3 linked regions of the Callithrix jacchus genome follow. The protein of the gene in region 2 purifies or fractionates together with the protein of the main gene of each other region. This does not show direct contact. Links are inferred from orthologs where the notes say so. Each region holds a gene or a part of one and is shown on either strand. Other genes may lie near its edges.

Region 1 (3,643 bases), on a different chromosome or scaffold from region 2:
AAGTAGAAGTCATGTTCCTGAATTCTTCAGTAAGAGGTCATCGTATCTAAAAATGAAGGAAGAGTGCTTGCTACTAAGCAATGATCTCTGGGCATGCATGGTGATATAGAGGTTACAAGAAAGTATGAATAATCAAATCCAGCTCACTCTGTTCCTGGAAGTTCCGTCAGTCAGTCAGAAAGGTGAGGTGGATGGAGGGGAAGGAAGGTCTGGAAAACAGGTGAGCAGAACCCTGTCCCTGCCCTGAAGGACTTCCAGGCTAGTGAAGTGACAGACGTGGGGAAAACAGTACAGAGAACTTAGAAGTGCCCTCATGGCTCTGACAGGAATGGGGACAACCCACTCCCAACTCCAGGGGGTCGGATTTCTCACCATCCCTGCTTGTCTCCATTTAAACACTTCTAGAGTTGTAATGAATTTGGGAGACAGCCACACTTCAACCCCTGCTTCCACCTTTACTCACCAACTTCAAGGGACAGGAAGCAGTGAGCCAAGAATTCAATTCCTTCAACAAGTCACTAAGGCCTGTGATTTTGGAGTTACGAGTGGCTCTTTCCATTATGGAAGTCCAGCAGTCTTATTTAGACACACAGAAATGAGTTGCAGGGGGACTTACTGAGGATAAGCAATGGTTGCCAGTAGGCTCCTTACCTCCCAGTCCAGAGTCTCCACCCTCCAACCCTCCTGGTTAGGTCAGCAGACCCCTGGCTCAAACCAACTGTTCTCCAAGCTCCAGGTTTGAAGTCAAGGATGTGAATGGGAAGAATCCCCACGGTGTAACCAAGTGGGCAGGAAGCAGCAGGTGTCCCGGCCAGGTCCCCACACCATCCACAAAACCAGGGCCTCACCTCCATCATCTCGAAGATGCTCTCTGGGTCCAGGCTGCCCTTCCCCACTTTCCTCAAGCACGTCACAACTCCCTTGCTGGTCACCGACACCAGCAAGCTGGCCAAGGAGCAGGCCTCCTCCTGAAGGGTAGCATCCACCACATGCCGATAGCCAATCTGCAAAGGCAGGGTACACAGCACACAGGGGTCACACAGGCTCCAGAGCCCCACTCTTGATGGCCTCGTGGTGGGAATCTCTACACCAGGCAAAGGATTCACATAGGTCATTCCAGGTCTTATTTTAGATTCTGCTCATGAGGAAAACAGTTGAAGGAATGTTCAACAATTCTCATAGGCCACTGTGTGGGTGATACAATAAAAACATGACACGGAAAAATAGGGCAAGGGGGTTTAAAACTAGAATTCAGAGACCATCCAAGACAGAGGCCACAGAGGCTTTCCAACAGAGGGGCACAAGGGACAAATTCCACACAATGCCACATCGATGTTTCACTGATGGCAAGGAGGAATCAAGAGGCCCATGCTAAGGGGCACACTCAAGAACAAGCCAAAGGCTGGTTGCAGTGGTTCATGCCTCCCAGCACTTTGGGAGGCTGAGGAAGATGGATTACTTGAGCTCAGGAGTTTGAGACCAGCCTGGGCAACATGGCAAGACCCCGTATCAACCAAAAATACAAAAAAAATAGCCAGGTGTGGTGGTGTTAGCCTGTGGTACAAGCTACTCAGGAGGCTGAGGTGTGAGGGCTGCTTGAGCTTGGGCCTGGGCAGGTGGCGGGGGTGGGTTGCAGCAGAGGTTTCAGTGAGCCTAGATTCTGCCACTGCACTCCAGCCTGGGTGTCACAGGGAGACTATTTCTCAAAAAAAAAAAAAGGCAAGACCCAATACCCTGCTGTCTGAACACTTCACCACATCCTGTTCATGAAGTTATTTCAGTGGAATTAAATCTGACCAGTTTAGCTTTATTTTAAGATAATGAATCCTGAGTGGAATTAGCTACAATCCCAGTTAATAGCCAATACAGGTCTCTTTGCACAGCCTGGGGCAGCATTAGTTATACGTCACATCAGCCAGATGTTGAGCTCCACAGCCCTCTGCTCTATAGGAAAACCACTCCTGACACCGAAGACCTGCTCTAATCTCCCATTTCATAGAGGGGGCATTGTTTGCCACCCTGCCACTACTCAGCCACCCTAAGCCCAATAGAGTTGAGGCAATTAAAGGACACAGTGCTTTACTGAAGTACATGGTATGTGGAAGGAGCTTAACAAACTCTGGCTACTATTACTACAAACACACTCCTGGCTCCCAGGCCACATCATATCTTCCAACTAAAAAGAAAAGAAAAAGCTACTCATGGTAGTGTTTTTCTAATATAAGCAAATTATTGGATCTGGGTTAAAGCTATTTCTATATGGTGTGTGATATTATAATTTATCAACCTATTAAGTAATCTCAGCAGATTGCGATTAGAGGAGACCCACATCCACAGGGAAGACAAAAACCATAAAATACAAGCTTATACCTTGCACAGAGTGACAATGCAGGGAACATTCTCGACACTTAGTCGTATGCAGTCATAAGGGTCATCAGACAATTCAATGTCCTTTGACCCCTCTTCGTCCTCCAGAACTCGAACCCTTGGTATCCTGGAAACAGAAGCACAATTAAAATTTCCATTTACTGTGAGGAGGAAAAAACACTTCTTTTTAAGATTGAGAATAGGAGTTAGAATCCCTGTGTCTCAAAGAGAAAGGTACGCTATGCCTATCCTTTATTATCTTCGTCCCTGTCAAAAGCATACGGGAGGCACCACAGTCCAATGAGGAGAGGCATCTTTTAGAAAATAATGCTGGGTCAATCAGATATCCAAATGAAGAAAAATGAACCTCAATCCCTACCTCACACCACACACACGTGAAGCGGTACCAAATACACCACAGATATAAAAGTGAAAGATAAGACAATAAAGCTTTTAGAAAAAAACATCTGCATGACCTTGGAGTAGACAACTATTTCTTAAACAGGATACAGAAAGTGTTATCATAAAAGGGAAAAAAGTTATAGATCCAATTATATTAACATTATGAACTTCTGTATATCATTTAAAAACTAACAACACAGAAAATGGGTGGGTCAGCCCTTGAAAGGTCCTAAGATCTGAGTGTGAGTACTATATAAGCATAAACTGGAGTGCAGTAAACCTAGGAATCCTCCCACAATTGTTTATTTGAGACACAGTCTTGCTTCGTTGCCCAGGCTAGAGTGCAGTGGCACAATCCCAGTTCACTGCAACCTCTGCCTCCTGGGTTTAAGTAATTCTTGTGCCTCAGCCTCTCGAGTAGCTAGGATTACAAGCATGTGCCCCTATGCCCAGCTAAGTTTTACATTTTTAGTAGAGACAGGGTTTCACCATGTTGCCCGGGCTGGTCTTGAACTCCTAACCTCCAAGTGATCCACCCGCCCTGACCTCCCAAAGTGCTGGGATTACAGGTGTGAGCCAGCGTGCCTGGCCTGTTTTGTTTTTACAGAGAAATGGGGTTTCACCATGTTGCCCAGGCTAGTCTCAAACTCCTGATCTCAAGCGATCTGCCCACCTTGGCACTGCAAAGTGCTAGGATTACAGATGTGAGCCACTGCACCTAGCCTATTTGTTTATTTTTTAAAAACATTTCCCCATCACTTATTCCAGATCCCAGAGCAAACTCCCTCTGCTCTCAGATCTTGACACTAGATATATATTCCACAGTTTCAGTCCCAGATCATACACTCCAAGATTTCTCATCCATATATATGTG
Region 2 (4,245 bases):
CCAAGTGGGTGAGGGGAACACACAGCCAGCCAGAGCTTGGGAGAAAGTGACTTTAAATATGAGGATGGGCCGGGCATGGTGGCTCCTGCCTGGAATCCTTGTGAGGTGGAAGGACGGCTTTTCACGAGTTTGAGACCAGCCTGGTAAGAGGCAGTCTAAAAAAAAAAAAATTAGGTCGGGCACTGGTGGATCACGCCTGTAATCCCAGCACTTTGGAAGGCCAAGGCAGACAGATCACTTGAGGTCAGGAATTTGAGACTAGCTTGGGCAACATAGTGAAACCCCATTTCTACTAAAAATACAAAAAAAAAAAAAAAAATTAGGCATCATGGCACACACCTGTAATCCCAGCTACGTGAACCCAGGAAGTGGAGGTTGTGGTGAGCTGAGATTGCACCGCTGCATTACAGTCTGGGCAGCAGAGTGAGACTCTGTCTCAAAAAAATAAAATATAATTTGGCTGCATGCTGGTGGCTCACACCTGTAATCCCAGCACTTTGGGAGACCAACAGAGTGAGACTTTTTCTCAACATAATTATTTTTATTTTTATTTGAGACAAGGTTTTGCAATGGTTCCATTTCGTCTCACTGTAACCTCCGCCTCCCAGGCTCAAGCCTCAGCCTCCCGAGTAGCTGGGATTATAGGCGTGTGTCAACACCCCCTGCCAATTTTTGTATTTTTAGTAGAGATGGGGGTTTCACCATGTTGGCCAGGCTGGTCTGGAACTCCTGACCTCGTGATCCGCGCGCCTCCGCCTCTCAAAGTGCTGGGATTGCAGGCGTGAGTCACAGCGCCCAGCCTCAAAAACATAACTTTAAAAAATATATATTTTTTTGCGACACGGTCTCAATGTCGCCCTGGCTGGAGTGCAGTGGATCAATCCATAGCTCACTGCAGCCTCCATCTCCTGGGCTCAAGCAATCCTCCCACCTCAGCCACCCGAGCTGCTGGGACTACAGATACACACCACCACACTCTGTAATCCCAGCTTATTTATTTATTTATTTTTAATAAACACGAGAATAAACGGGGCTCGTGGCCCTCGCCTGTGGTCCCAGCTACTTCGCAGGCTAAGATGGGAGGACTGCTTGAGCCTTGGAGTTCAAAACCAGATTGAGCAACATGGTGAGACCCCGTGTCAAAAATATATGTGATAATCAGGTCCTCCAGGCCGCACCCTAGACCACAGCGTTGTTGGGATGATACAACATTAGGTAAAAGAACTTGAAGTTCATGACAGAGCGCTCGGAGGTGACACCCCAATCGCCCTCCGCCCCTCCGCCCCTCCGCCCCTCCGCCCCTCCGCCCCTCCGCCCCTCCGCCCCTCCGCCCCTCCGCCCCTCCGCCCCTCCGCCCCTCCGCCCCGGCGTACGCGAGGCGCGCACGCGTCGCGTCGCGTCGGCGGAGACGCTATCGCGAGAAGAGCCGTGCAAGGGGGGGTGAAAAATGGCGCCGCCCAATACCCGCGAGCCCGGGGTCCTGTCGGCGACAAGCGCCACCAGATCTGACGGGGAAATGGTGCTGCCAGGCTTCCTGGACGCCGACAGCTTCGTGAAGGTGAGTTCGCGGGGCTTCGGGGGTTCCAGGAGTCTCCCGCGGCCGCCGGAAGCCGACCCGAGAGCTCTGGGCATCCAATGCCACCTCGCCGCATTAGAGCCCCGACGGGGGTCGCGGGGTCACTGTCCGCAGCGCGGACTCTACCTGCACCCTGCGGGGATGGGACCTCGGAAACGGACGCTTAGGGACGTCCCGCTTGCCAGCTTAAGTTCACGTAGGCCCAAATGTGGAAAGCCGTATCGCATCCTAGAAAGGGCTTCCTTGCCACCCAGACGTCCCCAGCCCTTGCAATGTCCCCCCCGCCACTCCTGAGCCACCCGGCCAACTCTCCTCAGGGGCTCGGCTGTTTCGCGCTCCCCACACTTGTCCGGAGTTGTCCCCTCCCGCGGCCGGGATGGCCTCTCTTCCATTCCTCTGTTCCGCTGTGCAATCCTACATAATTTTTAAACCTAAGTTAAATGTCACTGGTTAAAGCCCCATTGCACGTTTATCAGTAACTCCTGGAAGGTACACAGAATGGTTCACTTAAGTTATTTGTATAACTTAGCTTACACATGAACAAACATACAACTAGGTTTAAACTGTGCATAGCTCTTACAAAGCCATGAAACTAATTTGTAAATTAGCTCTGTAAATTTACAGAAACTCCACTCACGTTGTATCTATCTAATTTGCCACTAGCTAATGCTATTCATTTGTTTGGCTCTCAGTAGTTCCTGGACCACTAACTGTGATCCTGATTGTGTGGCACTTATGCTCATAAGCTACCATGTGCGCCTCCATGGCTTAATTTCCCACCTCCTTTCTCTGCTTTTTTCTTGGGAAATATTTATTCACACAACTCACAGTGACATCATTTGGCCTTCACATGGTCAGCCATCATCTATATCACTTTGCGTTTTTTCCATTACCTCACAAGAGTTAAAATAGAGAACCACTTGACACTAACTGAACAATAAACACAAATCCAGTTTTAGATAGTAGCTATTATAAATTGACAGTCCAAGGATCTAGGAAAAGCTTGCGTTGTTTTAAGATGCTCATCAAAATGAAAACACGGAAACAAATTCCTGTAGAAAGCTCTTGGATCTGAACTTGAGTCATAATAATAGCAGTTATCTGCCAAGAACTGTCCTAAGTGCTTTTATTAGCTTAGTCATTCAATCCTCACAAAAACTATGGTGCAGGCCCTTTTTATTTTTCCCTTTTTTTCAGAATAGAAAACTAAGGTCCAAATAAAAGAAATCACTTGCCCAGATGTTTGTTAATACATAGCAGTGTGTCAAGATTCAACCCAAGGTTTTTGTGCGTATTAATCATATTACATACCTGTGTGTTTGTTCTGTCTCTCAACTCTCCCAAGAATATAAGCTCCAAACTTGGTTTCTGTTCACGATTCTGTATTCTCAGGGCCTAGATTAGATTGAGGTTTGTACTAAATGAGTTTCGTTGTTGTTGTTTTTTTTTTTTTTTTTTTTTTTGAGGCGGGGTTTTGCTCTTGTTTCCCAGGCTGGAGTGCAATGGCGCGATCTCGGCTCACCGCAACCTCCGCCTCCTGGGTTCAGGCAATTCTCCTGCCTCAGCCTCCTGAGTAGCTGGGATTACAGGCACGCGCCACCATGCCCAGCTGATCTTTTGTATCTTTAGTAGAGACGGGGTTTCACCATGTTGACCTGGATGGTCTCGATCTCTTGACCTCGTGATCCACCCGCCTCGGCCTCCCAAAGTGCTGGGATTACAGGCTTGAGCCACCGCGCCCGGCTGTTGTTTGTTTTTTGAGATAGTGCCACTGCACTCTATCACCCAGGCTGGAGTGTAAGTGGCACTATCTTGGCACATTGCAACCTCCTCCTCCCAGGTTCAAGCAATTCTTCTGCCTCGGCCTCCTGAGTAACTGAGACTACAGGTGTGCACTACCACACCCAGCTATTTTTTGTATTTTTGGTAGAGACGGGATTTCATCATATTGGCCAGGCTGGTCTCGAACCCTGACTTTGTGATCTGCCTGCCTTGGCCTCTCAAAGTACTGGGATTATAGGCGTGAGCCAGTGCACCCAGCCCTAAATGAGTATTTTTTTTGATGGATGAAGAGTAGACATCTTCAACATCTACTGCAATGCACTGTATACAATAGATCAAAAAAATGATACCCAATGAATGGGAATCCATGTGTAAAACATGCCATCTTTTCTGGTTTTTGACAGTTTGCTCTTGGGTCCGTGGTGGCGGTCACCAAAGCATCTGGGGGCCTACCACAGTTTGGCGATGAATACGACTTTTACCGAAGTTTTCCTGGCTTCCAAGCATTTTGTGAAACACAGGGAGACAGGTTGCTTCAGTGGTAAGTACTATATTTTGTTACCTTGTGAAGGAAATAAAAACAAAGAGGTAGATAAATTTTTTCCTGAAATTTATTTTTCCTTAAACATTTTCTGTGGTATGAAGAGCTATAAAATGTGAAATAACAAAGCAATGGATTTTGATTAGGGAAATATTACTTGGTATTTTTTAGTTTAGCTTTTAAGAAATGTATTGACTTTTGTACAAATCTTTTTGTTTTGTTGTTGTTGTTGTTGTTGTTGTTGTTGTTGTTGTTTGAGACAGTCTTATTCCGTCACCAGGTGCCAGGCTGGAGTGCAATGGCGCGATCTTGGCTCACTGCAACCTCCGCCTCCTGGGTTCAAGCA
Region 3 (4,307 bases), on a different chromosome or scaffold from region 2:
TAGGAGTTTGAGACCTGCCTGGGCGACACAGCAAGACCTTATTTCCACAAAAAGAAAAAAATGTTTTTTAATTAGCCAGGTGAAATGGCATGCACTGTAGTCCTAGCTATTTGGGAGGCTAAGGCAAGAGGATCCCTTGAGCCCAGGAGTTTAAGGTTACATTGAGATATGATGACACCACTGCACTCCTGCCTGGAAAAGAGTGTCACCCTATCCCTAAGAGAAAATAATAAATAAAAAATTTTTAAAAGTTAAACTTTTAGGTTTTGTGATATTTTTAATAAGGGTACAAGTAATGCAAATAGGAAGTATTATACTTAGGTATGGAATATGGAAAGCTAAATGATTTCTGTGGAGTAAAAAGCTTGTCAAAATACCTTAATCAAGAATCAAATTCTGGCCAGGTACAGTGGCTCATCCCTGTAATCTCAGCATTTTGGGAGGCTGAGGCAGGTGGATCACTTGAGGTCTGGAGTTCAAGACCAGCCTGACCAACATGGTGAAACCCTGTCTCCATTAAAAATACAAAAATTAGCTGAACGTGGTGGCAGGTGCCTGTAGTTCCAGCTGCTCGGAAGGCTTGAACAGGGGAGGCAGAGGTTGCAGTGAGCTGAGATTGCACCACTGCAGTCCAGCCTGGGCAACAGAGGGAGACTCTGTCTCAAAATAATAATAATAATAATACAATTCTAATATCCGAATGCAGCACAATTTACTGGGACTAAGATTTCCAAAGTTATCCCTGCTACTGACATGATGTGGCCCTGTGTAAATCGATAAACCTATCAAAATGAGTGATTTCATCTGTTCTTGAGTTCTGCATGAAAAAAGAAAACTACCTGCTTCTATGAACTCATGTAGGTAACATAAGAAAATACATGAGAGATTATATGAAAAAGCCACAAGTTCTTTAAATAAAATATTTTACACACAAATCTAAGTTACTATTTTTACCCTTTAAAGATAAAGCTTTTTGTCCCTTCAGAGAGAGAGAGATGGCACAAAGTTCTAAGGGTATCACATCTGAAGTGAAGTGAACCAGTACAAAACTGAGTTAACGAAAGTTCTGAGAATAAAAACAGACACTGGGATCCGTGAATCAACAATATTTATCCTAAGATTAAGAATTTTGGGCATATTCTCCATTCCATGTGATTTGGGGTTAAAAAAAAAAAAGAAATTTGGGCATATTCCCCACCTTTTCGCCAGCAACAACACAGAGAGATTCAGTGTCTATACACTTCGAATTTCTTAGACATCTTTCCAAGAGTCGATTCAACTTCACCAAGAGATCTGACTGCCTATAATAGGAAAATAGGACGGGGCTAATGTCATGAAATACAACACCAGGTATTCAAAAAAAAAAAAAAAAAAAAAGGTCACTACTGTGAGGTCCTCCTATGACTAAAGTAGCTTAAGAAAAAGATTTAAATACCTGCCAGGTTCAAAAGCTGGAGCGGCCATCTGAGAGAGTTCAAGGTTAAAAAAAAGAATACCTTCTGTTGCCCTATTGAGTTTTGGAGCCACAAGTTCACAGGAAACCTGTCCAAGAACTCTGAAAAGATAAAGGAACAAAGTATTAACTAAATAGATCTTCCTTCCAAAAAAAAAAAATCTGAAACAGCAGGTTTCAACCTTACTGAGTAATATCACACTCAGCCAAATATATCATAGGAGATATAATTATATATAAAGTATAATATACACAGAAATAAAACATAAATTGATACACCTAAAAACACAACAGAAAAAAAATCTTATTACAATGTTTACTATTCCACAGATTGTTTTAAAAATCAATGACCTTTACCTCTAAAGCAAGTATTTATTGATACAAGATGGCATGAAAACTTGAGATTTCTTAAGGGTTTTCACATGGCATCGTTCACCACTATTATCTAACCAAATAGTCTCACAACTTTAAAATGAATATCAGAAAACCTAATTTTCATGTCACTCAGGAAAAAGAGGAAAGCAGGATGTATACTTAATGACAAGATGCTCAAGATCTCTATACTAGTATGAGAAACAAATTCAGTGTGGTCACTACTGGTTGTCTATACGATGTATAGAAGTCAGAAAGAACTATGTGATACGTGACAGAAAATAGGTTTATGATTACAAATTTCAATAGTGACCACAAAACCAAAAAATCTTGCATAAAAAAATACTTACTTTTGTCAGCTCAACAAAGGATACCGTCCAGACTTCTTAGCTGGTTTATAAACATATGTCTTTTTAAAAACTTCTCCCTTTTGAATGTATATATTATTTAAATTCTGTTACCTTGTTTTTCCAAGTTCCACAATGCAACATCCGTAATCGGTTCCAAATGAGATCCTGATGTTCCGATAATCATAGGTTTGTCTGCCATCCAGCCGCTGTAAGCACAAATTCATTCATTTATTCCTTCAACAAGTATTTCTTAAGCAATTACTTTTTCTGGCTCTGGGCTAAGCACTTGGAGGAAAGTGAAATCCTAACCATCCCGCCCATATAGAAAAGCGGAAACTACAGCACAGACAACTGCTGGGAGCCTTGAAAAGAACCTGTCGAAAAAACAATAATAAAGCCTGAGGGTTGGGGTGCACCCGCCGGTCGCTCCCCTAGTTGCTCCCCCGGCCCAGGCGGACCGGGTTATGAGTTCACACCTTGGCGCCCAAGCAGCGCGCCAATTCTGCAGGGACCAAACCATACCTTCTTCTCTTCGATGGCACGGAGTAGGAAGCGGCGCTCGCAGTTTGAAAGTGGCGTTTCCTTCATGGTGTTGGGTCCCGGGTCCCACTGGCACTAAAATCCGCGGGGGAAACGGAACGTGACTCCTGAAGCGCCGCTGCCGGTCCCGCGGCGCAGAAAATTTACGTCATCGAAGCGCGGCGGCGGAAAATGAGAAAGCAAGGGCTCTGGCCTTCGCTACTGCGCAGACTCTTAACAGTGAATAGGGCAAGCCAATGCCCCTTATGGTGGCTGTTTTTGAACGTGAAGTTTCGTTTCTTTGCTCATAAAGTGCGGAGGAGAAAAGGAAACTTACAATAACCATCAGAGTGATAGAAATTAATATCAGTAGACCGCTCTCACACTCCACCTTTCGCTCAGTCCTTTCTCGGGGTGGAGACTAGACAGATACTATTGCTATTTTACAGATGAATTAACATTGGCCCCTAGAAAGCCGCAGATGCAGGGTTCGGAGCAGATTCAATGAACGAGCACTGGAATGAGGGGGTATACGGGATGGTGGAGAAAGTTGACATGGTGAAACGGGATGTTATTGCTGCCAAAGGTGAAATCTTGTGGGATCTGAAAAGCTGACGAGAATAGAGAACGTTTGCACGTAATAACTAATGGCGTTACTGCTACTGTGGACGAAACTAAGTATACGTTTATTATCCGCTCCCCAGCTATTTGAAGTTGATAGACTTATTTTTACGGTCACAGAGAAACAGCGGGGCCATGCTGCCAACCACTCAGCTTTTTTGGAGAGGCAGTATCAAATAATAGTTTTAATAAGTGTTCCTTGCCAGGGTTCAAATTGTAAGTCTATTGTTAACTACTATAACCCTGGGCAAGTTGACCTATGTGCTTCACATTACTCACCTGCAAAAAAAAAAAAAAAAAGTGGGGGAATGCGAATGAGAAACCTGTGTATTATGAGGGATAAAAATGAGTTTTTATATATACATATAACGCTTAGAACAGTGCCTGGCATGGAGTAAGCACTATTTAAGTGTTTGCATATTATTATTTTGTTTCCTTTTGCTTTAGAGGGTGGTAGGCACTGTAACTCCTATGCAGGCTCTTAGGCTTCTTTGTAGCTTCTCACATTTTTTTTTTTTTTTTTTTTTTTTTTAGCAGTGATACATCTTAGTCTCACTTTGTACTACCATGTACTCAATAAATACTTGAAGAGGGCCTACTGTGTCCAGGAATAATTTGAGTGCTGGAGAAATGAGGTAGACAAGATCCCTTCTGTCAAGGAATTTATATTCTTTTTGGAAGAGACAAAAAAACCCTAAACCAAATAGAACAATTTCATACAGTGGTAAGTCTATCTGAGAATAGGAATGCTATCTTAATAGGGGTAGTTGCAGGAACAGGTGACTTTGTAGAGGTGACATTTAAGTAAAATAAATCTTTGATGTTAAGCAGGAGCAACTTTGATGCCATCTGGAGGAGAGGAAAAGTGTTTCAAGCAGAAAGAGTAACACATGCAAAAATGAGATGGGATGCGGGCTCCACATGGTCTGGAGATAGAAATTGTGAAGAAGGAGGAAAGTAGACAGAAATGATTAATTTTCAGAATCGTCAAG

What was found.
Region 1: the proteins of EXOSC10 (region 2) and EXOSC7 purify together in Homo sapiens (affinity purification with mass spectrometry; 6 studies listed by BioGRID and IntAct, counting the BioPlex papers as one, with this or other methods). This does not show direct contact. The link is inferred for Callithrix jacchus from reciprocal best matches to the Homo sapiens genes EXOSC10 and EXOSC7.
Region 3: the proteins of EXOSC10 (region 2) and EXOSC9 purify together in Homo sapiens (co-immunoprecipitation; 7 studies listed by BioGRID and IntAct, with this or other methods). This does not show direct contact. The link is inferred for Callithrix jacchus from reciprocal best matches to the Homo sapiens genes EXOSC10 and EXOSC9.

The regions. Positions count from the first base shown.
Region 1 is NC_133516.1:27,748,677-27,752,319, reverse strand, and holds part of EXOSC7 (exosome complex component RRP42), read right to left. Parts: intron 2,495-3,643; coding exon 2,371-2,494; intron 1,005-2,370; coding exon 849-1,004; intron 260-848; coding exon of another isoform or gene 167-259; exon of another isoform or gene 148-166; intron 1-147. UniProt on the Homo sapiens protein: Non-catalytic component of the RNA exosome complex which has 3'->5' exoribonuclease activity and participates in a multitude of cellular RNA processing and degradation events.
Region 2 is NC_133508.1:48,971,097-48,975,341, reverse strand, and holds the start of EXOSC10 (exosome complex component 10), read left to right. Parts: upstream 1-1,404; 5' UTR 1,405-1,447; coding exon 1,448-1,558; intron 1,559-3,762; coding exon 3,763-3,899; intron 3,900-4,245. UniProt on the Homo sapiens protein: Catalytic component of the RNA exosome complex which has 3'->5' exoribonuclease activity and participates in a multitude of cellular RNA processing and degradation events.
Region 3 is NC_133504.1:75,883,659-75,887,965, forward strand, and holds the start of EXOSC9 (exosome complex component RRP45), read right to left. Parts: upstream 2,863-4,307; 5' UTR 2,764-2,862; coding exon 2,698-2,763; intron 2,382-2,697; coding exon 2,287-2,381; intron 1,556-2,286; coding exon 1,436-1,555; intron 1,302-1,435; coding exon 1,199-1,301; intron 1-1,198. UniProt on the Homo sapiens protein: Non-catalytic component of the RNA exosome complex which has 3'->5' exoribonuclease activity and participates in a multitude of cellular RNA processing and degradation events.